3 linked regions of the Alligator mississippiensis genome follow. The protein of the gene in region 3 purifies or fractionates together with the protein of the main gene of each other region. This does not show direct contact. Links are inferred from orthologs where the notes say so. Each region holds a gene or a part of one and is shown on either strand. Other genes may lie near its edges. The genes, in order: TEAD4, IRF2BPL and VGLL4.

Region 1 (8,461 bases), on a different chromosome or scaffold from region 3:
ATCTCTTTGTGGGGGCGGGGGGGGGGGAGGTGACCTCATATGAGATTCTGGTTAGTGAAAGGACAAATGGTTTCCCCCAGGCACTTTTAACTGCTGAAATCTGCTTTGATTTTACCACAACAGCACTAGGATCATAGGGCACCTATACACGTGCGTATGCTACTACAACTGATGCTCCAGGTGCTTTAATTAGAGCAGCTCTTGTACTTTAATTACAGTACCCCTTCTACTGCCTCCTGGAGCACATGTATAAATACCCTTAATTCCCAAAGCTTGTGTCTACTAGAGATTTTTACTATTAGTCACTTGATTGTTGACTAGGTCAAGATACTTAACTCATTTACTCTACAAGATGACTGGGCTGATCTGCTCCATCTCTAGATCACAACTTGCACCTGGTTTCATAGAATCATAGAAGTAGGGTCGAAAGGGACCTTGTAGATCTTCAAGTCCAACCCCCTGCCTGGGCAGGAGGGCAACTGGGCTCAAATGACCCCAGCCAGGTAGGCATCGAGCCGCTTCTTAAAGACCCCCAGGGTAGGTGCCAGCACCACTTCCCTTGGAAGTTGGTTCCAGATCCTAGCCGCCCTAACTGTGAAGTAGTTCCTACAGATGTCTAATCTGAACCTACTCTCCAACAACTTGTGGCCGTTATTCCTTGTTATCCCAGGGGGCGCTAGGGGAAACAAGGTCTCCCCCAAACCCTTCTGGTCCCCCCTAGTGAGTTTATAGACAGTCACAAGGTCCCCCCTCAGCCTTCTCTTGTGAAGGCTGAACAGGTTCAGGTCCCATAGCCTCTCATTGTAGGGTCTGCCCTGCTGTCCCCGGATCATGCAGGTGGCCCTCCTCTGGACCCTCTCAATGTTCATCTTGGAGTCAGTGATGACTCCAAGATCCCTTTCTGCCTCCGTGCTCTCAAGAAGGGAGTTTCCCATCTTATAAGTGTGTTGCCGGTTACTACTGCCCAAGTGCAGCACTCTGCACTTTTCTGTATTGAAATGCATCCTGCTTTTGTTAGCCCACCCTTGCGACCTATCCAGGTCTTTCTGCAGTCTTTCCCTCCATACTAGCGTGCCCACCTCACCCCAAATTTTGGTATCATCAGCAAATTTGAACAGGTTACTTTTCACCCTGTTGTCCAAATCGCTGATAAAGAAATTGAACAGTGTGGGCCCAAGGACCGAGCCCTGGGGGACTCCACTGCCCACTTTCTCCCAGGTCGAATATGACCCATCCACCACCACCCTCTGAATATGACCCTTCAGCCAATTAGCAATCCATCTGACCGTGCAGGCATCGATGCCACAGTCGCCTAGTTTTTTAATGAGCATGGGGTGGGAGACAGTGTCAAAGGCCTTGCCGAAGTCCAGAAAGACTACATCCACGGCGACACCTGCATCCAATGCTTTTGTGACCTGATCGTAAAAGACAATCAGGTTGGTCTGACATGATCTGCCCTTAATGAAACCGTGCTGGTTGACCTTGAGCATCATCCCCGATGCCGGCCCGTCACAGATGTGCTCCTTGATGATCTTCTCAAAAAGTTTCCCCAGGATTGAGGTAAGACTGACGGGCCTATAGTTGCCTGGGTCCTCCCTTTCTTAAAGATGGGGACCACATTGGCTATTTTCCAATCATCTGGCACCTGGCCTGAGCACCACGCGTGCTCGTAAAGCCGTGCCAAGGGCCCAGCAATAACCCCTGCTAGTTCCCTCAACACCCTGGGGTGGAGAGCATTTGGACCTGCTGACTTGAACACGTCCAGCCCCTCCAGAAGCACTCTAACCCGGTCCACCTCAACCTTAGGTCTTGAGGCGTTCCCCTCGAGTCTGTCTTGAAACACCGTGGGGGAGTCCCGGTCCCTGCACAAGAAAATGGAGGTGAAGAATTTGTTAAAGATGTCTGCCTTCTCCTCTGGTGCAACTATCAGATTGCCCAGCACATCTTGCAGGGGCCCCACATTTCCTGGTGCCTTCTTCATCCTCCCTATATATTTGAAAAAGGACTTCTTATTATCTTTGATCTTGGACGCTAGTCCTAGCTCTATATCTGCCTTAGCTTTCCTAACAGCCCCCCTACAGGCCCAAGCAATGGAGGTATACTCTTCTTTGGAGATAAGCCCCCCCCCCCCCCCCCTTCCACCAGGTGTACACTGCCTTTTTGGGTTTCCATGGTCCAGGGTTTCCATGGCCCTGGACAGCAAATGTTTTCACTAGCTGTTTTTGGCAAAGAGGGGTAAAGAACAATTTTAAAATGACCTTAAATCATCTTTTCCTATCACCCCTTTTGCACTTGAAGGACAAGGCCTCTCTTTATTCTTGACCTGAGGAGATTTCATGCTATGATTCATCTCAGAATCATAGCATCATAGAAAATTAGAGTTGGAAGGGACCTCAAGAGATCATCTAGTCCAACCCCCAGTGCAAAGCAGGACCAGCCCCAATTAGATCATTCCTGCCAGGACTTCGTCAAGCTGGGCCTTAAAAACCTCCAAGGATAGAGATTCTACTACCACTCTAGGTAACCTGTTCCAGTGCTTCAACACCCTCCTAGAGAGAAAGTTTTTCCTAATATCCAACCTAAACTTTCCTTGCTGTAACTTGAGACCATTGCTCCTTGTTCTGTCATCTGCCATCACTGAGAACAGTTTAGGTCTAATCTTCTTTATGTCCTGGCAGAAAGCAAATTAAAGATGAAAAAATGCATATACTCAGGCAGACAGGAGGCAAAAGACCATCATGGGGAAGTGGAGAGAGGGGAATTCATACTCAATTTATGCTAAAAAAAGTTCCCCTTTCAAGGACTATGTGACATGGGCACTAACATAGCTACCACGATCGGAGACCATCATTGAAGGTTTGAACCTAGGATCTTCAGCACCAAAACCACAGACTTCCACCACTTAAAGTTAGGGAGAACCTAACAATGACAGCATGAGCTACATTTCAAAGATAGCATGAGTGCATTCATTGAGCCACTGTATTAGACTTCACCAAAACCTTTATCAAAAACATGATAAACATGAAAAACATGATAAACATGCCGTACTTTAGTTAAAAACTTGAGGAGTCTTTTCTGAAAAAGTTTCTTTTAAATGCCACTTTGATCCACTTTTCTTATTCCTCTTTGCTTTTCTTTGCCAAACATATTTAACCTGAGCTGCTGCATCATTTGGGATCTCTCTCACAGCAGCACACATGGCAGACCTGATGGTTGACAGAGATCTTCCTTCTCCCCAGGGTGATAAAACTCCCCCAGCTGTTCTCCTTACCGTACATCTTGCCCTCATCCGACAGGATGATCTTCCGCCGCCCACATGGCGGGTAAATGGCTAGCGCTTCCTGGAAGCTCTGCTCAATGTCCGGACTCCACACACCCTCAGCATCATTGTCGATCGGCTTGTCCAAGGCCTCACTGCCCCCTGAGTCGTTGCTCCCCTCAGGGGAGGTGGGAGAACTCCACTCGTTGGAGGTAATGGTGCCAGTTAGAAACTCCAAGGCGCCACTTGGAGAAGCAGCCACCGAACCTAAAAGGGCAAACATACTCCGTCTCACTCAGTGAATCTTTTCACCATGAACGCTAACAGAGTATAAGAAAAACAGCTCAGTGTTGCCCCTGTTTTGAGACCCTGGGCTGGTCACAGGCCTTTGGCTCTTCCAGGATCAGACTGTGAAGACTGTCTTTAGTTGACACAATAAAATATGCAGAAATGCACACAAGATCTCCACCAACCAGAAGAGAACCTTCTCCTCGGCAGCAGGCTCTGCTCAGAATAGCCTTCCTGGTATTGCCTTTGTTCATTAGCTTGCCATCTACTTCCAGTTCTTATCAGAAAACACACCCACTCTCTTCCTTGCCCTTGTTCTTAATTTCTCTTTCCCTCTGCATTCATTATCTTTGTAAATGCATTATTTAACGATCCAAAGCAGGCAGGACTCAGTCAGTGTGAAAGACACTACACAACATAAAGCCGTGATGAATTATCTAGTCATCGCTCAGGACTGAGGTTGGAATTTTCTTGGGTACAGTTTCACTGGGTTGGAGCGAGTGAGTGGTGTCGTTTTTAAACACTGACTTGTCTGCTTCCCAAGAAGCGGAAGCCATTTTCCAAACAAGTTCCTTAAAAGCCTGATGGACTAGTGCAGGGGGCGGGGTACTTATTTGGGCTGGAGGACCACTTAGGGGGGTTTGGTGAGCTGTTGTGGGCCAGGTCAGCACCCCCCTTGCCCTGCAACAGCTCACCAAAACTTCTTAAGTGGCTCTGCCCTGTCCACCCGTTCCGCTCCCTGATGCTGCTCCCCACCTGTCTGTGGTCCCATCTCATCCACCTGGCTAAGTACACCCAACCCACGGCATCCTGGGCCAGTCTCCATGGAGACTCTGCCCAGCTACTCCATCTGATGCTGCCAGCGGTGGGTGCGGGGTGGACAGGCAGAGGTGCCTGGAGGTAGCAGCAGAGACTGGCAGCAGCAGCTGGAAGGAGCTGCCACTGCAGGGGCTGCCAAGAACTGAGTCCGGACGCTGTGCCATTCCAGCCCCGCTGCGCACCTGGGACAGCAGGACCAGCTTCATGTGTTACCAGCTCAGGCTACTCCCTGTACCTGGGCCAGGTGGAGCCGAAGGACCTGCCATGGGCCAGATAAGAATCCCTTGGTGGGCCAAATATGTATCATGCATTTTGTCTATATAGATCGTAAGGGCTTTGGGGCAGAGAGATGCTTCTCATTATGTATTTATGCAGCAACATACTTCTGGACATTAAAATCATGCAAATAATAACAGTCATCTTATAAACCTTTGCAATAGAGAAGACCAAACCAGCCAAACAGAGGTGGTCAAACTGGGGAGGCAGGGAGCACGTGTAGTCTGTGAAGCTCTACTTGGGGGCTCACTGAACAAGTATGTATCTCCTTCAGAGTGAATTTACTGGCTGCTGTTTTGCATTGTGAGCCACTAGAGGACTGGCGATTCACAAGCCACAGATTAGGGGCCTTTAAACTAGCTAGGCCAGGGGCAGGCAAAATACAGCCCACAGGCCAGATCTAGACTGCCAACTGATGGGATCCAGCCCGTGGCTGCCCCCGTGGTGCTCTGCATGGGGCCTAGACCCACCCACTCCCACCAGGGCAGCACACACCATACTCCAGCCTGTGCCTGCTGGCCTGAGCCCCAACCAGCGTGTGCAGCTTTCAGCGGGGCTGTTTCCATGTTCCCCTCGCCTCCAGCAAGAGCTACCTAGCTGAAGCTTCCCCTCAACCCATAGTGGTGCAACAGGTGCAGGAATGGGAAGAGAAGCTGTTGCTGGAGGCGAGGGGACCAAGGTAGCCCCTGGCTGGCTGCAGCCACATTGGAAACAGCCCTGCTGGAAGCTGCATGCACTGGCAGAGGCCTGGGCCAGCAGAGCTGATCTGCTCCCATTGCCTCCAATGGAGGCTCCTCCTGCTGGTCCATTCACTGCTGAACTATTCCAGGTGGCTGGGGAGGAAAGCTTCAGCTGGATGACTCCTGCTTCAGTGTGTGGGTCTCTAGCTCCAGCTCCACCTCCGGGCTGCCTTCTACTCACTCCACCCACCTGGCACCATAAGCAGCCATGTGCAAGTACAGAAACCTATGCAGCTGAGTGGGTGGAAGGCAGCTGGGTGCTAGAGCCAGAGCCCCATGAGCTAAGGCAGAAGCTGCCTGGCTGAAGCTTCCCCCACCCGCCAGGAGTGGTGCAGCAGGGACAGGACCAGAAGGAGAAGCCTCTATTGTGGAGCAATAGGGGTAGAATAGCTCTGTTGGCCCATGTCCTAGCCAGTGCATGCAGCTTCTAGTGGAGCAGTTCCCAATGTGGCTGCAGCCAGCCAGGGGTTACTTTGCTCCACCTGTCTCCAGCAGCTGCTCCTCCTCCCACTCCTGCCCCTGCTGTGAGACTCTGGGTGGGCAGATGGGGGGAAGCTTCAGCTGGACAACTCCCACTGGAGACAAGGGGAACCGAGCAGCACCCCGCCAGCTGCAGCCCCACTAGGAACAGCCCCACCAGAAGCTGTTCACTGGCCAGGGCTGGGACCAAGGCTGGGCTGGCTCTGGTTGCCCTGTGTGGGGCTTGGCCGCATGTGGAGCATTGCAGGGGCAGCTACAGACCTCACCACCCAGTCAAGCTCTGATGCATGTACCGCACCCTTCCCCCTTCTCCTCCCCTTCCCCCTCCCTGTCCTCAGCTCTGATTGGCTCTGAACCTAGCACCCAGGCAGCCCCCACTTTACACACATGCACACATGCCCCCCCCCCCACACACACACACAACCCACACACATCCCCATGCACACATGGCCCACCCCACCTGGGGAGGGTGTGCAGGGAGCAGATCAGCCTCACCTGCCCATCCTGCTCCCAAACATTGCCCCCCACCTGCCTAAAGCCCCATATGAAGTTTTGGTAAGTTGTTGCAGGGGTAGAGAGGTTGCTGACCTGACCTGCAAAAGCTCATCAAAACTTCCTATGTAGCCCTTGGTCCACACCCTGAGCTAGGCTGTCTGTCCTGTAATACAAAAAGAAAGTGCTAAAAAAAAAATAAAAAAAAAAATAAAAAATCCCACGTTACAAGTACAGCAAGTTGAGCAGTAGGAAAAAAAAAAAAAAAAAAAAAAATCACACAGCACAATAGATAGCTCAGAAGCACCCAGCCTCTGTTTCATGAAGAGAGGAAAGGACAGAAGAGGGCTAAGGCAAGTGGGGTTAGGAGGGGGCACCACGAGGCCCCACTTTAAGCATGAAAGACACAGAGAAGAGTGTAAAGCTCAAGGATTCTCTGCTACATAGGAAAGATACCTGGAACACATTTTATGACTTAAACTGACAGCCTAAACTTACTCTGGAACAATTTCTAAGTGTAGACTGGCAGTGAATAAATATCATACGTAGAGAGAGGGTGGAAGAGAAAGGAAAGGGGAAAGAGGGAAAAACAGAAAAGCAGGATAGAGACTGCAAAGAGGAAGCAAGGGATTAAAAAGATAAACCAGAAGCGAGGAGAGGAGGGTACAAGTAGGAGCAGGCAAGGGGAGAGAGATTAGGAAGACTAGATAGCACTATGGAGATAGTGCAGCAAAGCATGAGCAGAATCTTGCCTCACATGTGAGCTGCAAGCTCTTCAGGCCAGAAATCATCTTTCTTTAGTGATTGAGCTTTGCCTAACACAAGGGCCTTGCTTTTCATTAAGGCTCATATGCACTATCACAACACAAATAATAATGAAGGGAGAAAGAGAGGTGATGGAGAAGAAGAAATACAGGAAGACTCAGGAGAAACAAGTAATAAGCCAAGGAAAAAAAGTAAAAAAAAAGGGGAGGGGGAAAATAGTGGGAAAGGGGAAAGAAATGAAGGAGAAAAGCAGAATCAAAGAAACTACTGGGTCAAGCAATTTTAAAGGGGCAGATCACCCTCCTCCTGTCTCCAGAGTTGGTGAGGGCACCTTACCTACATTCACCACCCTCCACAGACCCAGAGAACCTTTTCTATTTCAAGGCCTGTGCTGGGAAGATAACAAGGGGCTTCCCATTGTCCAAGGGCAAAATCAGGACTCCAGTCCTGAAAATCCTGAAATTGCTTAAAGAAGTATAAATTTGGGGCCCCTGTTATTTTCCTTTCTGGTTTCCGAGTCATTCGGGTTCACGCATTCAAGCTCTTCTCTGCAACTCCGAACATTACAAGTTTTTTCTCCTTACATGAAAGCAGAGATTCTCATTAATTTATGTTATTCCTGGAGCTGAGATTTCAAGGAAAGAAAACCCCCTCACTGAATCTATTTCCCACAAGACTTTGTTTTAATCTAAAGCCACAGCAGAGATACTGGTGCTCATTTTACACTTTAAAAATGCACAAAAGCCCCTGTAAACACTGTGGAAATAAAAAGATAAATGGTAATACTAAACAGGAAGTATCTAATCTGTAAGTAGCTCAGAAACCTGATGGGGAATCAAGGGACTCAACTCAGAACTGTAGTCACTGGGATTCCTGTTTCTCAACCTAACATTCCCCCCTCCCCCCCCCCCGGGGCTAGGTCCTATGCTGTGTACTTCTGTCTCTGGAGAAGGAAAATAAAGATAGTGGGGGTAGCAACCTCAGTCTTTATCAACATGACACAAAGTGCAGTGACAACTGAACCAAAATGAGGACTGCAGCTTTAAGAGACCCTGAAACCGGTGGCCAACAGTTGCTCACTGTCCGTGCCCCACTCTACTTCCCTCTGCCAGATGTCTATCACCACCAAGTCAACTTCATTGGCAGGTGCTCAGCAGAAGGTTATTCAGCTATTTAAGGGATTTTGCTCTTGAGAGTCAAAGAGAGAGTAAAGTCTGAGCTGAGGCTACTCAGGGAAACTAAAGAATGGAAAGTGGAAAAAAGGCAGTCTCTTTTGATGGCTATGAACCACCCCAATTTCTAGTGCCTGGTCTATGCTAGGGTAAAAAGGGGTGCAACACAT
Region 2 (7,577 bases), on a different chromosome or scaffold from region 3:
GCACCAAAGTCTCAAGTAGCTGAATGAAATACAGGCTTTTGGCATAACTGAGACTCTTGAACAGGCAACGTGTTCAGCATCTGTTGCCCAAAACTCTAGGAAAAAATAAAGCTTGCTACTCAGGAAGTATTAATATCAATTGAATTTATTACAATTTACTAAGCTCCAAGGCACATTACAGTGTTCTGTTAACTACAGAAATGTATAAAGGACAAACAGAGCATGTTTTCCATGTACAGCATTTTGCTCTACTGTTCAAAAGCATCCGTGCATCAATAAAGCAAAAACAAAAAACACATGAAGATTAAAAACGTTCAGATCAATAGAAACAAACTGAAACATTTTCCTTACAAACTTGCAACGAAAAAACACCCCCCCCCGACCACCCCCACCTTTTTTTTTTTTTTTTTTTGCCAACGAAAAAACGAAAACAGAAAGAAAGAAAGTGAAGGACTAACACTCAGGGCTTGTAAAACGTAAGCTGTCACCATTTTTGTAGCAATTTTTTTTTTTTTTTTTTTTTTTTAGGCGTCAACACTGGCCTTGGCAAAAAAAAAAAGTTGTATTTTTTTCTTTTTTCTTCTTCTTCTTCTGTCAGAGAAGTGCATACATTTACAAAAATACACACCAGCAGCAGGTAATCGCTAAGGGCTATTAACTGTGTACCTAGCCAACACACTGCCAAAGAAATGAGACCAGGGCTTATGGAGTAACCAAACAATATTATATTCTGTTTAACAAAAACCAGCTCTATCCTTCAAATGAAGAAGAGTACATACCTTTGTTTCAAAATATAGAAACGTACGACGAAAATAATGTCTATACATCAGACTAACTTTGTTGCAGTCCGTTATATTCACAATTCTACAGGTTCAGGAGCCTGGAGGGAGGGGCTGGGCGGCCTAGTTCAAGGGTCTCTCTCCTTTTTCACTTTCACGTCCCCGGCTAAAATGGTGGCGATCTCGCCCTGCATAAACGCCCAAGGCACGTTGGAACCGACAAGGGGGCATTTCTCTCCGCTGGGGCAGTAGACCTCGCCCGTGGCCCCCTGGGCCTTGATGCTCTCTCGGGAGCAGGGGAAGCAGAACTTGTGGCTGGGCACGGACGGGCACTGCACGAAGTGCGTGTCCTCCAAGCGTTCGTGGCAGATGGTGCAGCAGAGGGGGCCGCTGTTGGCCATGGGCGAGTCGGGAATGTTTTGGGGGTGCACGGGGTCCATGCCAGGGTGGGCGCTAGGGGGAGGGGGGGCCACCTGCAGGTTCATGTCGCCGTTGCGCGAGGCCAGGCGGCGCTGGCCGGGCACCGAGGCGGGGGACACGGGGCTGCTGCTGTTCCGGCGGCCGGCCGTGGTGGAGTGCACGGAGCTGCCGTCCTTGGGCGAGTGCGCCGTGCCCAGCGTGTCGGCCACGGACATGAGCGCCGCCATGGGCGACTGCCCGTTCTGCGGGGCCGCCTCGGGCGGCGTGGTCCGGTTGGGGTGCGGGCCCAGCGGCGGCGGCGGCGGCGGCGGGCCTCCGCCGTGCACGGCGCCGAAGCCGCCCGCCGCCATGGTGAGCTTGAGCGCTTCGCTCTGGCTGGCCATCCACTGCTGCCGCTGCTGCTCCTCGCTCAGCTTCAGCCCCGCCTCGGCCGAGTCCGGCGGCTCGGGGGACGCCTTCCTCTTGCGCAGCCCACCCCCGCCGCCGCCGCCGCCGCCGCCGCCCGGGCCCCGCGCCGAGCCGGCCGCCGCGCCCTGCCCCGCCGCGGGGCCGCCGGCCGGCCGGGGCAGGCTGACGAGCGCCGTGGGCAGCATGGGGCAGCTGGCGTCCAGGTAGGGCTGCGGCAGCATGTCGGCGCCCACCAGCTCCTTGAAGAAGCGCACGGACTCGGGCAGCAGGTCGCCCAGCAGGCGCCAGTCGCCGGAGCCGTGCTTCTTCTCGTACTCCAGGTACTTGAAGCCCGAGGACAGGCCGCGCCCGAAGTCCTTCATGCAGTCCTGGTACATCTGCTTGGCCACGCCCGAGGCGCTGGAGAAGACGGTGCCCGAGCCGCTGGGGTACTCGATGAAGAGCTTCAGCTCGTAGTCCAGGCCCGGCTTGGACACGGCGTCGAAGGCGAAGACGCGGCCGAGCAGCGTGTGGTCCTTCTTGAAGCGCACCTCGTAGGGCGTGCAGCCCGCCAGCGTCAGCAGCGTGTCGCGCACCAGCTTGGGCTTGCTGGCCCACTCCTCGGCGCGGTTGCGCAGGCTTTCGCCCAGCTCGGCCAGCGCCTCGGCGTTGCGCTGCTTCTCCTTCAGCTCGCGCTCCTGCTCGCTGCTGGACACCGAGCCGGGCCGCTTGTCGCCCGCCGCGCCGGGGCCCGGCCCGCCGCCGCCGCCGCCGCCCGGCCCCGCGCCGCCCGGCCCCGCGCCGCACGCGCCCGCCGGCGCCGAGCCCGAGGCCGCGGGGGGGCCGCCGCCGCCGCGCCCGCTCAGGCTGCCGTGCGGCGGGGGAGGCAGCGCCACGCCGGCGGCCGCCGGGCCGTTCAGCAGCGTCTGCGGCAGCAGGTTGGGCGGCACGCTCAGCCCGGCGCCGCCCGCGCCCGGCGGCAGCCCGGCCACCAGTCCGCCGTGCGCGCCGCGCCGCGACGACGCCGCCGCCGAGGCCGACGAGGAGTTGGGGCTCTGGCGGTTCAGCTCGGGCGGCCCGTCCTCAGGCGCCTTGGGGAAGCCGTTCGGGCCGCCCAGCCCGTTGGGCAGGCGGGCGGCCAGGCTGCCCGGCGGCGGCGGGTACTCGAAGCGGCCGCGCGGCTCCGCCGCCGCGCTCAGCCCGTAGCGCTCGAGGCCGGCCGGCGCCAGCCCCGCCGAGGCGGCCTTGGCTGACGCGTCCACGTGGTTCAGCTGCTGCTGCTGCTGCTGCTGGGCCGCTGCCGCCGCCGCCGCCGCCTCCTTGGCGGACAGCGGCACCGCCTTGACCCCGACGGGCGGCGGCGGGCCCGGCGAGCGCCCGTCCTGGAAGCAGCCGTGCGCCCGCTTGAGCTGCCGCGCCGTCTCGATGACGAACTCGATGCGGTCGGCGCCCTCGTAGTTGACGCAGCCGCGGCACACGGGCTCCGTGAAGTCCCAGATCATGGCCCAGGGCATGCGGGGCAGGTCGCACAGGTAGCACGACTGTCTCCGCGACGACGACACCTGCGCGGCCGACATGGTGCCGCGGGCGGCGGCGCTCCCCGTGCCGGCTCCCGCGGGCCCTGGCGGCGGGGGCTCGGCTCGCCGCTGCTGCCGGACAGCGCTGCCCTCTTGCTACCTGGCGCCGGCAGCGTCGCCTGCTCCCGCTCCCGCTCCGCGCCGCTCCGCCGGGGGGCTGGCTGGGCTGGGCTGGGGTCGCCTTCTCGCCGCTGTTTCCCGGCGCGCTCTCGCTCTGGCTCTCGGCGGCGGCTCCTCCTCCGCGCGGGGGGCGAGGGGGGGCGGCCTTCTACCCGGCGCCTTTTACCCGGGGACCCGCGGGAGGAGCCGCCCGGGCCGGGCCCGCTCTCCGCGCTGCTGGCGAGCGGCGCCGCCTGCTCCGCACTCACATCTCGCCGCTGCTCGGGGCTCGCGCTCGGAATCCGGAGTGTGTCGCGTCCGGCGTGGCCCCGCCCCCCCCGCCCGGCGCGGCGCGGATGCCACCGGGGTGGAGCCCTCGCGTCACGCCCGCTCCGCCCCGCCCCCCGCCGCAGTTCCCCTTTCCAGCCTCCCTCCCCTCCCCCCACTTCCTCTGCCTACGGACGCGGAGGCCACTTGTTGCGCGGAAATTGCGCATGCTCGGCCCGCTGCCCGCTTCCTCCCTCCCGGCTGCGCGACAGCTGAGGCAGCGGGAGAGACGCACCGAGGGCTATGTTTGGAAACTCAGACACGAACTCGCTCCCGCTCCCAGCCCCCCGGCAGCTCCTCCCGAGCCAGGAGGCGGCCGGGAAGCACATGCGGAGCAGCCCGGCCGCAGGAGGACACGCACTTCGTGCAGTGCCGGCCGCAGGGGGCTGCCCGCTCCTGGCTGTCAGATGAGCCGGGCCCGGCTGCCAGAGCCGCAGGGGGCGGGGCGGGGCGGGGCGGGGCTGGGCGCGGCCGGGCTGGTGACCCCCAGGGGAGGGCCGCCGGATCCCCCCACGCAGGGGCAGCGCCGAGCTTTCGTTTTCCTTCTCGGGCTGCGCTGGTCAGCAGCCGCTCCAGGTCATGCAAATGCGCTGTGAACGCGTCGCACTCGCAGGGGAAAACGCGCTTTATTTTCGAGGCTGCAGCTGTGACGCTGGAGCGTGGCCGTGGCCGTGGCCGTGGCCGGGCGGAGGTTGCGGCTGCAGCGTCCGCAAGCCCCGGCCCCAGGCCCCCCACCCCCGCGGCCCGAGCCTGGCGCGCTCCTGTGCCCAGGGCCCTGCGTCACTGGTCGCACCATGTAGCTCGCTCCCAGGGTGACTCCCCCTCGCCAGGGAAACATTGCTGCACTCCCCGAGCTGTAACGCTGCAGCTGGTCACGCCGGATAACCCCTCTCTTGTTTTTGCTCCTCATTCAGCTCGCCTTCATTGAACGCAGAAGAGAACAAAAAAAATGGCCTTTTGATTTCTCTCCCTCTCCTGCAAAGGCCGCTCTAATTTCTGTGGCATGGCGCCATGTCCCCTCTCCACAAAAACGTACAGTATTAACAACGCAGTGCTTCGTGCCTCGTGAAAGAGGGACCAGCGGGGTATCAGCTCTGTTCAAGTTTCTTCAAATAACGTGATTCCCTTCAAATCCCCGCTGCTTCTCAGGGCCACGTCCAGGGCTCTTAAAGCCGGCAAACTTGATGTGAAATGATATGTCCGGCTTTTTTTAAGAGAAAAAGCGACCTGAAACGCAGGCCGTAAAGCTACAGAAGGGACGGGCTCCGATCCAGCCAGCTCTGACCAGGTGCCATCATTTTTCCAAAGGGGCAGCTCATGGGGCAACGAGGTAGAAAGGAAAACCGAAAGTCCTTGGATGAGCTAAGTCTCTCGCGTGCACAATTTCTGTAGGAGATGAACTCCCGGGGGATGGTTTGCACATGGAGGAGTGTCATACCCAGGCTGCGGACAATATCAAGGCTTCATTGAAGCGGAGTCCAGCGAGGCAGGTGGAGGCGGGGGGCGAGCGGCCTCTCCTCGCAGCGCCCCGGGGGGCTTGGGGAAGGCTGCGGGGCTTCCCCTCCATGTCACTGGACTTGTCTGAACACGATGTGCTCGCTGTCACACAGACCTGAAGGGCAACCCCCTCTCCCCTTCCCCCTGCTCTGTGATCTGCACGTAAGCAACAGAATTGGGCGATGAGAAAAAAAAGTCTTCCCTTTGCCTAAATCATGCCAGCCGAGGAAGCAGAGGTCCCCCCGGCCCTGGCTCTCTGGGAAGGGGATGCGAGAGGAGTGGAGCTGGATTTCACTCCACAAATGCCAAGGCGCTCCCTCGCCCTGGCTCCTCTGACTCCTAACTGCGGGAAAGCCCCAGGCTCCCCGCAGGAGCGGCCAGGCCCCGGGCTCACGAGACCAGCGCAGGGAAACAATAACCAGAGAGCAGATCTAGCCTCAGCAAAGCGCTCACGGGTGCTGGCAACTCCCTTTCTAGTCTGGGAACAGAAAAAGATGGGCGATTAGCACGTGTGAGCCGGCTCCGCGGCCTTTCCTCTTCCGGGAAGGATGCGCTGGTGGGAGCGGGGATTTCTTTTCCCGTGATGATTAAACCCGGCTTTGAAGCGGGGCCCCGGGGGTCCCTGCCTGGGAGGCGGCGGCACCGAGCGGCCGGGCAGGACCCATCTGGGCTGCTGGAGGGGAGCAGAGTGAACGATGCCAACCTAACAGTCAACGCTAAAATCTCCCTCAAGGGCGGCAGGGCGCCTCTCCCACCGCGCTGTCCTTTCGCCGGCCAGGAGCAGGGCGGCAGGAAGCCGGGTGAGTCTCCTTGGGCCGCCACTCAGCCAGAGAGATGTTTCTTTAGCTCTGCAATAATCCTGGAATTAAAGCGCGTGTGGAGGAGAAGCAGGAGGAAAGGCAAGAGCCCAGGCAAGGAAGTCTCCCAGGTGTGTGCCCCGGTGCCAGCACACACGCAGCCCGGCAGCGCCAGCGGCGGGGGCTGGTGGCCGGGCGCGGCCCGAGCCGAGGGGCCGCGATCGGGAGGCCCTGGCCCCGGTCCCTGATGAGTGACCTGCCAGCAGCCCCGGGGCCAGGGCGTCCCTCTGGCTAACACGAGCATCTGCCAGTTCCGGGCAGGAAGGTTCCGGCCCCACGGGTCCTCTCGCTCGATCCCCGTCCCCAGGTTCATGACTGACGAGAGGTGAAGCTCTGATCTGAGCAAGGGAAGCAAACAGATCAGAGGACACACGACCCGGCCGACCCTGCACACGCAGCAAGCATGGAGGACAATGTCCTACCAAGGCAGGAAGCACTCGCCTGGGCTCAGCCCCCTGCCACAGCTTGCAAATGCACTGGGGGGACGGCTGAGGTCCCTGGGAGAGCAGCACTGATTGCTACCGAGCCCTTGCCTGCGGCAGCCCCAAGGTTTTCGGCACGAGCCATGAGGACGCCGTGAACCAAGCGGAATTGCCATGAGACGTGTAGCCCGGATCCGTTCCCAGATCGGGCCGGGCCAAGGGCTCGCTCCGCACGTAGCAGCCCGGCCGCTACAAGGACACTCTTCCTTCCTGAGGAGCTCACCTCAGAAAGGGGGAGGGGGTGTTAATCAGATCTGTCCTCTCTCGTGGCCCTGCCCCGGGATCAAAGCAGCAGCTCCAGCTGCAACGCAGGGGCGGGGAGGGGGCACAGGAAGGAAGAGAAATCGTGACAGAGCCCGGCCAGTGCAGAGATCTCCCCTGGCGCAGCGCGGCAACCGGCAACCGCAGTCGCTCCCAAGCAAGTGCCTGGCTTGAAACCAGTGAAGAGGTGAACCCTGGAAAGCGCTGAGGCGTGCAGGGGAGTGTGCTCCTGAAACGGCATCGCAAATACTGGGGGAGGGACTTCCACAATTTTGTCAAATTAAAAGTGAAACAGCAGCGTCTTCTGCTGCAAACTGCCAGGAAGTGTCAAAACACGTAGTTACAAAGAGCAAGAGTGTAATTACGTGTTTCTGTTTATCGTTTCAGTTACCAGTTCTCTGCAGATTACAGGCCCTATTCGAAAATACTCCAGCTCCGGGGGCTTGTTGCTGTCTGCAGGCCTTCTTTCCAGCCTCCTGCCTAGGAATGCACCTTCCTTTCTTTCTCTGTTCTAAACCTGCCACTGGTTTCTCTACATGCTGGAGCTTACCACTTTGTAAGTGAGGCTTATGTCCCGCGCTCTATTTCTAGGAGGTTTCACTGCTAATTTTCTTTTTTTCTTTTCTTTTCTTTTCACAGTGCTGTTTCTCCTTTGCCACCACAGAGCACGGCTTGCTAGGGGGGTCTGTCTTCCTGGGGCCCTTTCGCTACTAACTACGTGATCCCACTGTACAAAATAGGTAACTTGGTTTCCCCCCCAAACCATGCAAAAGTTCCACTTCTTCCCCAGAAAGCAGCCCTGCTTCCCTTTTCATACAACTGTATTTATGGCTTTTTTAAATAATCTGTGGGCCCAGATTTCCAGGTGCCCACATTTGCCAAATCTTACAG
Region 3 (8,192 bases):
GACCAAGAAGCAGTGGTCTCAAGCTGCAGCAAGAGAAGTTTAGGTGGATGTTAAGAAAACCTCACTAGGAGGGTGGTAAAGCACTGGAACTGATTACACCTAGAGAGGTGATAGAATCTCTATCCTTGGAGGTTTTCAAGGCCTGACTCAAGAAGCATTATCTAGAATGATCTAGTTGGGGAAGGTCTTGCTTTGAGCAGCAGGGTTGACTAGATGACCTCTTAAGGTTCCTTCCAACTCTAATTTTCTATGATTCTGTGATAATAGTACATTTCATAGGTACATGAGTCGTTTCAGTAAGTGAAGGCAAACAACACTGTTCTTTTAGCAGAGATGTTAAAAGGGAAAATGAAACGGATGAAATTATGATGCCACTGTAATTATTTAAAAGTAGATTTGATGCACTCTACTATAAAAGTTAGCAACCCAAGGAAAGCAGTAATACACTATACACTTGGACTGAGATTTTCAGGAGAGACTAAGGGAATAAGACACCCATGAAATAAACAAACAAACATTCCACTAATTTCCAGTGGGATATGGGCATCTAATTCTGTTCCTCTCTTCTAGAAATCCTGACACGTGATTATATCATATATATCATCATGATATATTATAATCATGATGAGCTATATATATATAGCTCATCATGATTATATAATCATCATGTAATGCATATTTATCTGACATCTGCAAAAGAACTTTTCCAGGAAGTGTGTGTGTGCGCACATGCGTGTGTATGTATGCGTGTGCTTGCACATGTATAAGTAGTTCAAGTACGAGCCTCAAAGCCTAAGAAATTAATCTGAAAAAAACCCCACTTTGTTCTCAACACACACACTCCCACACCCACAACTGCAAGCTGTGGCTTTAAAAAGAATCCATCATTGCTGACAATCCCACTGTAAAATTCCATGGCAGTGGCAAGGAAGATCTGTAAGCATCTCTAAAATAACCTTTCAGGGTTTAGTGGAGATATGGGCCAGTGTTTATACTTTTTAAACCCCTAGGATATAAACACCTCACTATAAAACAGCAATCAGGTTTTGCTTTTCTTTTTTCATTTCCCATATGTTTATTTTAGTGTTAAAAAATAATGTTAACTTCCATAATAAGGAAAACAGCAAGAGACATCTAAACTAAACAAAACATATTAGAGTGTGTTCCTTAAGATGGTCTTTTGCTTTCCAACTACCAAAAGTAAGATCTGTCCAAAAAAACAGGTTTAAAAAGGAATGATAAGAAAGCAGAGTTTGGTAAGCAGCTTCAAAGTACTGACTAATAAACGTAATGGAATGAAATTAATGAAAGCCTAAGGAAAAAACAAACAAACCCTTTCCCTTAGTCAGAGAAACGCAAAAAACCAGAAGTACCCTCGATAAGCAGAAATTCTATTTAGAATTCATTTTCATTACAAACTAGCAGTCATGTCATAATAAAGCACCATTTTTAATTCAGGGCGATGACCAACTTACCAAAAAAACTCAAAATTCTTTTATCTGGTTTCTTCTTGCAACAAAGAAGTTTCAAAAAAGAAGCTACAAAATGGGAAAGAGTATGAAAGTATAGATGGCCACACACAATCTACATTGTATTTTTCAATACTAACTGGTTAAACCCACTCTTTGTACAGCAGATTTATCCAAGTACATTCTTTTACAAGATTGTTATGTAAATGAAAAGTAAAGTAGAGGCTTTCATAGTTCTACATATGAGCATTTTTATTCTCTCAAGCTAGGAAATATGGCCATTCTGACTGAAGCAGGATGAAGGGCAGACATTTTATGAGAGTGAGGTTCTGCTCCCAGATTTAAGGCCTAGTTTTTTCTTAGGTGGTATGAGCAGATATCTCCTGATCACATCTATATATATTTTTATTGCTTTACAGTCATTTACAGCAAGTTTACTTTCCAGATGAACTTGGAAAAAATTCTTGCTGAATCAGAATAAAGATTTCTGCTATGTTTGAATGTGGCTACAGCAAAAACAGTCCTACTGCCAAGCTGAATTAGCTCAGTAGTGCCTTTCTTTCCATTCAAAGCCAAGCCATTACCAGTTCTGTAAACTGCACGTAGATAAAGCTCAACTAAAACTACGCAGCTGCACCCCCTCCCCCATTACCTAAAGTAACTTTGAAACAAGGCTACTATTACCCACAGTATCAGCAGTTGACACTAAACTATGTTAGCTGGACAAAATAAGCAAACTCAGAACACAAAGACAAAAAAGTGAAGTTTTCCAGACTGTTGTGTAATTGCGTCCACAAGGGCTGCAGTGTGGGATAGTTCTTGGGGGAGGAGGTGCGTGTATGTGTCTGTGGGAGTATGGGGGAGAAACATCTTTCACTGTCAGGACTCTCAGAGCTATATAGAAAATGAGAAGTCAAACAAAAGGCCACTCCGTGCCCAGTAATATGGATACCTACAACCCTCAAAACCAAAGGAGCAAAATTCTTCACTGTTTAAAACCAATTACTGAATTACGACAAAAACTTGTAAGTATCCTGTATCAAAATATGTTATGAATGTAGATAAAGCATAGATGTAGATGTAGCATGTAGAATAAAGATAAAGCACAAATAAAAGCTTATTGCATTTATTTAGTATACGCTTGCTAGACTATATTATACACATAAAGGTATAATACATTAATGCTTTTACCCATGTTATAAAAATGATAATTATTTCCTTTACAACTATATTAACACTATCAGAATGGTATCTGGGTGCACAAGCAAGGTTCTTGATTTAAAGTATTTCAATCAGTGCCATCTTTGCTTTTAAAAACCCAAACTATATGTCATGCTCAAAAGAATAGAAAATATTCCTTTGAAAATAAGAATTCAAATTTTACTTGACACTTAGCCAGTACTAAAGCATGTGTTAACAAACATAAACCAAAGGGGAGAAAAATCCAACTTAAAGTAAAATACAGTCCACAAAAGGCAGTTTGTGAAATGAAACAATTACCTTCATAGCACAGAATGCCAATATTGTTGTTCATCTTGTCCAAGTACTGGTAGTTCAACAGGTCCATCTTCATAAATAGCATTTATCAGGCTAGCAAAAAAGACCAGCTTGCTTGCTTTCGCCCAGAAAAAGGGAGAAGCAGCCAGACAGATGCTGTTAAGTAGCTCTTGGCTCTTTCTAAACTTCACAAGCTCAAGGCCCAGCCTTTAATTAATCAAAAAGGTATATTAAAAGGCAGTTTAGAAGGATAAAAAGAGGACCCTTCCAGGTTTTTTAGGCTAAATTTAAAGTGTACTGTATGTCCTTCTACAAAGGAGACTCTTAAAAACCTTTTTGTAAATCTTTGTCTAATTAAAAGAAAAGAAAAAGAAAGGAAGGAAATTTCCTAAAACAAAGCCACGCTAGTTCTGCTCACAGCCCGCTGCAAGTTAACTGCACTGACATGCAGGCTATGCTTGGTATGACTCGTATGTAAACTAGCTTCCTCTTTCTATCCGGCACAGAGAACTGAGCATGCTCACTGAATCCCTTGAGCTCTTCAAATGTCAAGGATATTTTCTGCACAAGATCAGTCTCTAAATGTATTGAGTGAAAGAAAAGGAAGGAGGAGGTGGAGAGTCTGTAAAGAAAGAACCATGTCAGAGCTGCTCTTGACAGGAAGCAGTGCTGCCACTGCAAACAGAGAGGGAGGGAGACAGGAAAAGTCCAGAAAAACACAGAGACCTCCGAGTACTAAGTTGAGGAAACTGAGCAAGCTAATCTGCAAGGAAACAGGATTAACTTGTTCAGAAAGGATTTCCAAGTGACAGCACTGAGTTTAAACTTTTTACTTTAAATAATTTTTCCCACCCCCTCACATTTATTTTTACTTGACTATTAAAATATTTGCAACTATTTGATAAGGTTTCAACATAGCACAATAATGTTGCCAATTCACTGAAAAGTAATACTATTTGAAATATTAACAAACTGGATTCTTAGTAGCCAGGATATGGAAAAAATGAGAATTATAATTTTTAAAAAATCACCTGTTTGAATAGTGGAATATGTATCTATAAACACACGTGAAGTTTATGTTGGAGTTTAATGTTGTTTTTTAAATCCTTAAGAAAGATCTGTAGTTAAACATTTTACAGTTTTTTTTTTTAAATGCCTGCTCTAACACCATTTTAAATGACAGGGTGAAGGACACTTTTGTTGTTGTTATTTTTGTTTTTTTAAAACAATAGTTGTTCTCATCTCAGGATGTGGTTTGTTTTCCAGCAGTTCAAAACCTTGATCTTAAAGATTTCTAATTGTTTATACAGATGTATACCAATCATCGCAGAAAGAACAACATCTGTATCGATATTTCTATGTGGTATGTCATCCTAATAGGTATCTTTATATATCCCCTGTGGTAGATTAACACCTAAAGCAACAGTAGGAAAGTGTGGTCTGAACAAAGACATAATGGAGTTCTGGGGTTCTAATATCTGGTCTGTGGCCTTGTACAAATCACTTTTCTGCCTTGGTTACCTCAGGGGAGATTTTCAAAAGGTACAAAAAGAGCTAGGCACCCATCTGTCAATAGAAATTGGATGCCTACATTCCATTCCTGTCTTTTAGGCTAGGGACAGACATTCAAAAAACCTGAGCCTGAATTGATTCAAACTTTGCAGGTTAGTTTAACCTGACTAGGCTGAACTGTTTTGAAACTGCACAGACATTCTCTCTGGACTGAGGAAATTCAGGCACGTGCCTGCAGTGTCTCAGGCTAGATGCTGGGGGGGGGGGGGGGGGGGGGGGGGGGGGGGGGGGGGCAGCACACTAAAGCAGGTCTCCCTTCCCTTCTGCAGGGAGATGAGCTGAGGGGACATGGGCAGGCCCTGGCAGGACTCTATCATTAGGGATGTCTGCCTGCATGGTCCCAGGCTTTTCTCCATTGGCTGCTCAAGGGGCAAGAGTGTTGCCAGCCCCCAGACCCAGGCTAGCACTCTGAGGCAAGGGGCAGTGTGTACAGTGCATGCATCTTTTGATGATATGGAGCCTTTCAGGCTAGGGACAGACATTCAAAAAGCCAGAGCCTGAGCTGATTCAACCTTTACAGGTTAGTCTAATCTGTCTAGGCTGAACCGGTTTGTAACTGGACAAACATGCCCGCAGTTGCTCAGGCCAGGCACAGGGGGCACTAGAGCCAGCCCTCGGCTGCAGAGAAGCTGTGCTGGGGAGGGAGTGGCCAACCCAGACTGAACTGGCCAGAGCAGGGTTTAATTCCCACTCTGTGCCACTGGCAAGGACCCAAGCCAGGTCTGCCCACACTCCTATTCGCTGCTACAGCAGGGAGGCACCATGGCCCCTGAGGCAGAGTGAGGCAGGGAGCAAAGTTTGTTTCCTCTCTACCCCACTGGCAGCCACGTGGCTCCCTGTCCGGAATAGGCCCCCAGGTGTACCTTCCACTGGAGGAATAACCCCATCCCTGCCCACCCACCGCCCCCCGGGGCCCTGCCTGGCAATGCCCCCTCCCTGCCGCTGCAGCAGAAGGGAACCAGGGCCCTTACTGGGGGCAGCAGCCCTTGTCCCATTGTGTGGGAAAGTGATCCCCTTCCCAGCGAGGGGCTGCGCTGTGACTTCGGGCTGCACACAGCAGTATTGGGGTCTGGGGCCAGAGCCCTGCAAGCCCCTGCAGCACCACCACACTCCACAGCCGCTCTGCTGGCCCCACAGCGCAGCCCCGCCGGGAAGCCATGACAGGCTCCAGCTGCCAGGCGGGGGTAAGCCCAGCCCTTGCTGCCCATTCTGTGCCAGGGCAAGCCACTGATGGGGCTTATTCAGCCCCCGTTATTCTCCCCCACCCTGAGTTTCAGCTGCAGCCCGGCTGGGCAGACTAAGCAGCTAGCAGCTGAATAATTCCCTTCCTGCGGGGAGGGGGCTTACTGCAAGAACAGAAAGAGGCCACTCCACCACAACGTGGTGTGCCCGGCCCAGCTGCCACCGCTCTGTCCTCCAGGCCAGCGGCAGCCAGGCTCAACAGAAAGCACAGAGTGGTGGTGGCCACGCTGAGCTGACCCAGCTGTGGTTGAGCAGCCTCTCTCTGTGCATGCAGCAAGACCCCTCCCAGTAGGAAGAAGCTTATTCAGATGCTGGCAGCAGCATCTGCCTGGCTGGCCTGCAGCTGAAGCTCAGCGGGGAATAATGGGGGCTGAATAAACCCCCTCAATGGTTTTCCCTGGCATAAAACAAGCGGTGGGGGCTGGGCCAGGACCACCCCCACCCAGCAGCTGGAACAGTGCATGCCTGACAGGCAGAAGCCCATCACAGCTTCCCAGCGACGATGCACTGTGGGGTCAGCAGCACGGCTGTGGAGTGTGGCGGCACTGTGGGGGCTTGCAAGGTTCTGGCCCACTCCACACCCTGGCGCTGCCGCACGCAACCCAAGCCCACAGTGCAGCCCCTTGCCGGGAAGCGGCTCACTCTCCCCCACTGTGGGACAGGGACTTTTGCCCTCAGTAAGGGCCCTGACCCCTCCCATTGCAGTGGCAGGAAGGGGGCACAGCTAGGCAGGGGCCCTGGGGGGACAGGGATGGGGTTATTCCTCCGGCAGAGGGGAAAGCCAGAGGCCAATTTGGGGCAAGGCGCCACCCGGCTGCCAGTGGCGTAGACGGAAAACGAATTTTGCTCCCTGCCCCTCTCTGCCTCAGGGACCATGGTCCCCCCCCCCCGCTGCAGCAATAAGGGAGGAGTGTGGGCAGACCTGGCGGGGGAGGGGGGGGGAAGAGGGGCACTGATAACAGTCTTTGTCACCCAATTAGCAAAACAAAAGCCTCTCTCCACATTACTTCACATTTCTTAAACAGTTTACTGGCTGGCCTGTTGATTAGCTTCAAAAGTCCTAAGTGGTCACTGTTTGCCTATCCCAGTGAAATTGCGCACGCGCGCGCGCACACACACACACACACACACACACCCTACCTTGGCATTAACTAGCCTACCACATGCTGGCTATGGTCCCTGCTGTGGTAGAGAGGAGAAAGGGATCTCTGCTTAAGCAGCGAGTGGCGAGAGTGGGGAGGAGGGGGGCACAGGGAAGCCAGCACACCCTGCTGTGCCTGCAAGTCTGTGCTGAACTCCAGCCAGGGAGCAGAGGGGAGGGGCCAGCTCTGCTATGGAGCAGAGAGCCCTGCCCAGCCCAGAGAGCCTGCCAGGATGCTGGTGGACTCTGATGTAACTTAAACCAGCAAGGGGTCTTGGACAGACATTGCATAAACCGTTTTGAGCCAAATAGTTAAGTCTGATACTACATTCAACCAGGTTTATCTCAAACCATTTTTCAGACATTTTCAAACTGGTTTATGTGCACTGAACATCTGTTCTGTTACAGGTTTAATCCAGTTTCTGACCACTTAAAGTGGTTTATGTACAATGTCTGTACCTAGCCTTAATACCTCTCCTGAATGTCAAAAGGGGAGACACTGCTCTTATAGCAGTGCTCCCTAAAATGACATTTCATCAAAAACATTTTTAAAATGCCAAGGCACTTCTATTACTGTTATTTCTACTAAACCTAGGTTACTAGTTTAGAATAAAATTTAAAGATGAAAAAAATTACTTCCTCTAAGTATTTTAATTGAAATAAGAAAAACTCTGCTGAAAAATGCCTGCCTGTATTTCCTTTCAATTAAAGGGACACGAGCACTGTTTCAGAGATTAATGCAAAAATAAAACAAAAAACTGTTTTATTGAGAAGATGAAGTGTAAAAGCTCCTACTTTGCTGCACAAGAAAGTAGCTGGGTACTTAAGTTAGGTACCTAATAATTTAAAACTGCTCATAACCACACTCTCTGAGATCTACAATCCTTTTAATAAAGAGAGTGTGTGTGTGTTTGTGTGTGTGTGCGCGAGCGCTCATGCGCGCGTGAGTGTGAGAGCGTGCATGTGCACACACTCAATTATAATGATCCATTAAAAACCTAGATTGTTAATTAAATGTCATGAGGCTCATCAAATTTTTAGCAGTTAAAGCTGTGCTCACCTACCCCCAGACCGAGCAATAAGCAGCTTTCCAGATGGAAGAAACTTTTATGAATAAAATTATATTTGTAAATTTGAAGTGGGATGGGCTTGAGAAATCATTCAAGTACTACAGCACCTACGTTCAATTCACTCTGATGCAAAATGACTCTGCTTTTGGGTTTTCGATCTCACAGGCTACAATTAACTTTCACTTTACTAGGCCTCAGAGT

Evidence for each region.
Region 1: the proteins of VGLL4 (region 3) and TEAD4 purify together in Homo sapiens (co-immunoprecipitation; 5 studies listed by BioGRID and IntAct, counting the BioPlex papers as one, with this or other methods). This does not show direct contact. The link is inferred for Alligator mississippiensis from reciprocal best matches to the Homo sapiens genes VGLL4 and TEAD4.
Region 2: the proteins of VGLL4 (region 3) and IRF2BPL purify together in Homo sapiens (affinity purification with mass spectrometry; 3 studies listed by BioGRID and IntAct, counting the BioPlex papers as one, with this or other methods). This does not show direct contact. The link is inferred for Alligator mississippiensis from reciprocal best matches to the Homo sapiens genes VGLL4 and IRF2BPL.

Annotation. Positions count from the first base shown.
Region 1 is NC_081827.1:143,817,036-143,825,496, forward strand, and holds the start of TEAD4 (transcriptional enhancer factor TEF-3), read right to left. Parts: upstream 3,543-8,461; coding exon 3,272-3,542; intron 1-3,271. UniProt on the Homo sapiens protein: Transcription factor which plays a key role in the Hippo signaling pathway, a pathway involved in organ size control and tumor suppression by restricting proliferation and promoting apoptosis.
Region 2 is NC_081825.1:262,646,782-262,654,358, forward strand, and holds IRF2BPL (probable E3 ubiquitin-protein ligase IRF2BPL), read right to left. Parts: upstream 3,547-7,577; 5' UTR 3,164-3,546; coding exon 908-3,163; 3' UTR 128-907; downstream 1-127. UniProt on the Homo sapiens protein: Probable E3 ubiquitin protein ligase involved in the proteasome-mediated ubiquitin-dependent degradation of target proteins. Through the degradation of CTNNB1, functions downstream of FOXF2 to negatively regulate the Wnt signaling pathway.
Region 3 is NC_081835.1:32,363,467-32,371,658, reverse strand, and holds the start of VGLL4 (transcription cofactor vestigial-like protein 4), read right to left. Parts: upstream 3,499-8,192; 5' UTR 3,052-3,498; coding exon 2,970-3,051; intron 2,495-2,969; exon of another isoform or gene 2,333-2,494; intron 1-2,332. UniProt on the Homo sapiens protein: May act as a specific coactivator for the mammalian TEFs.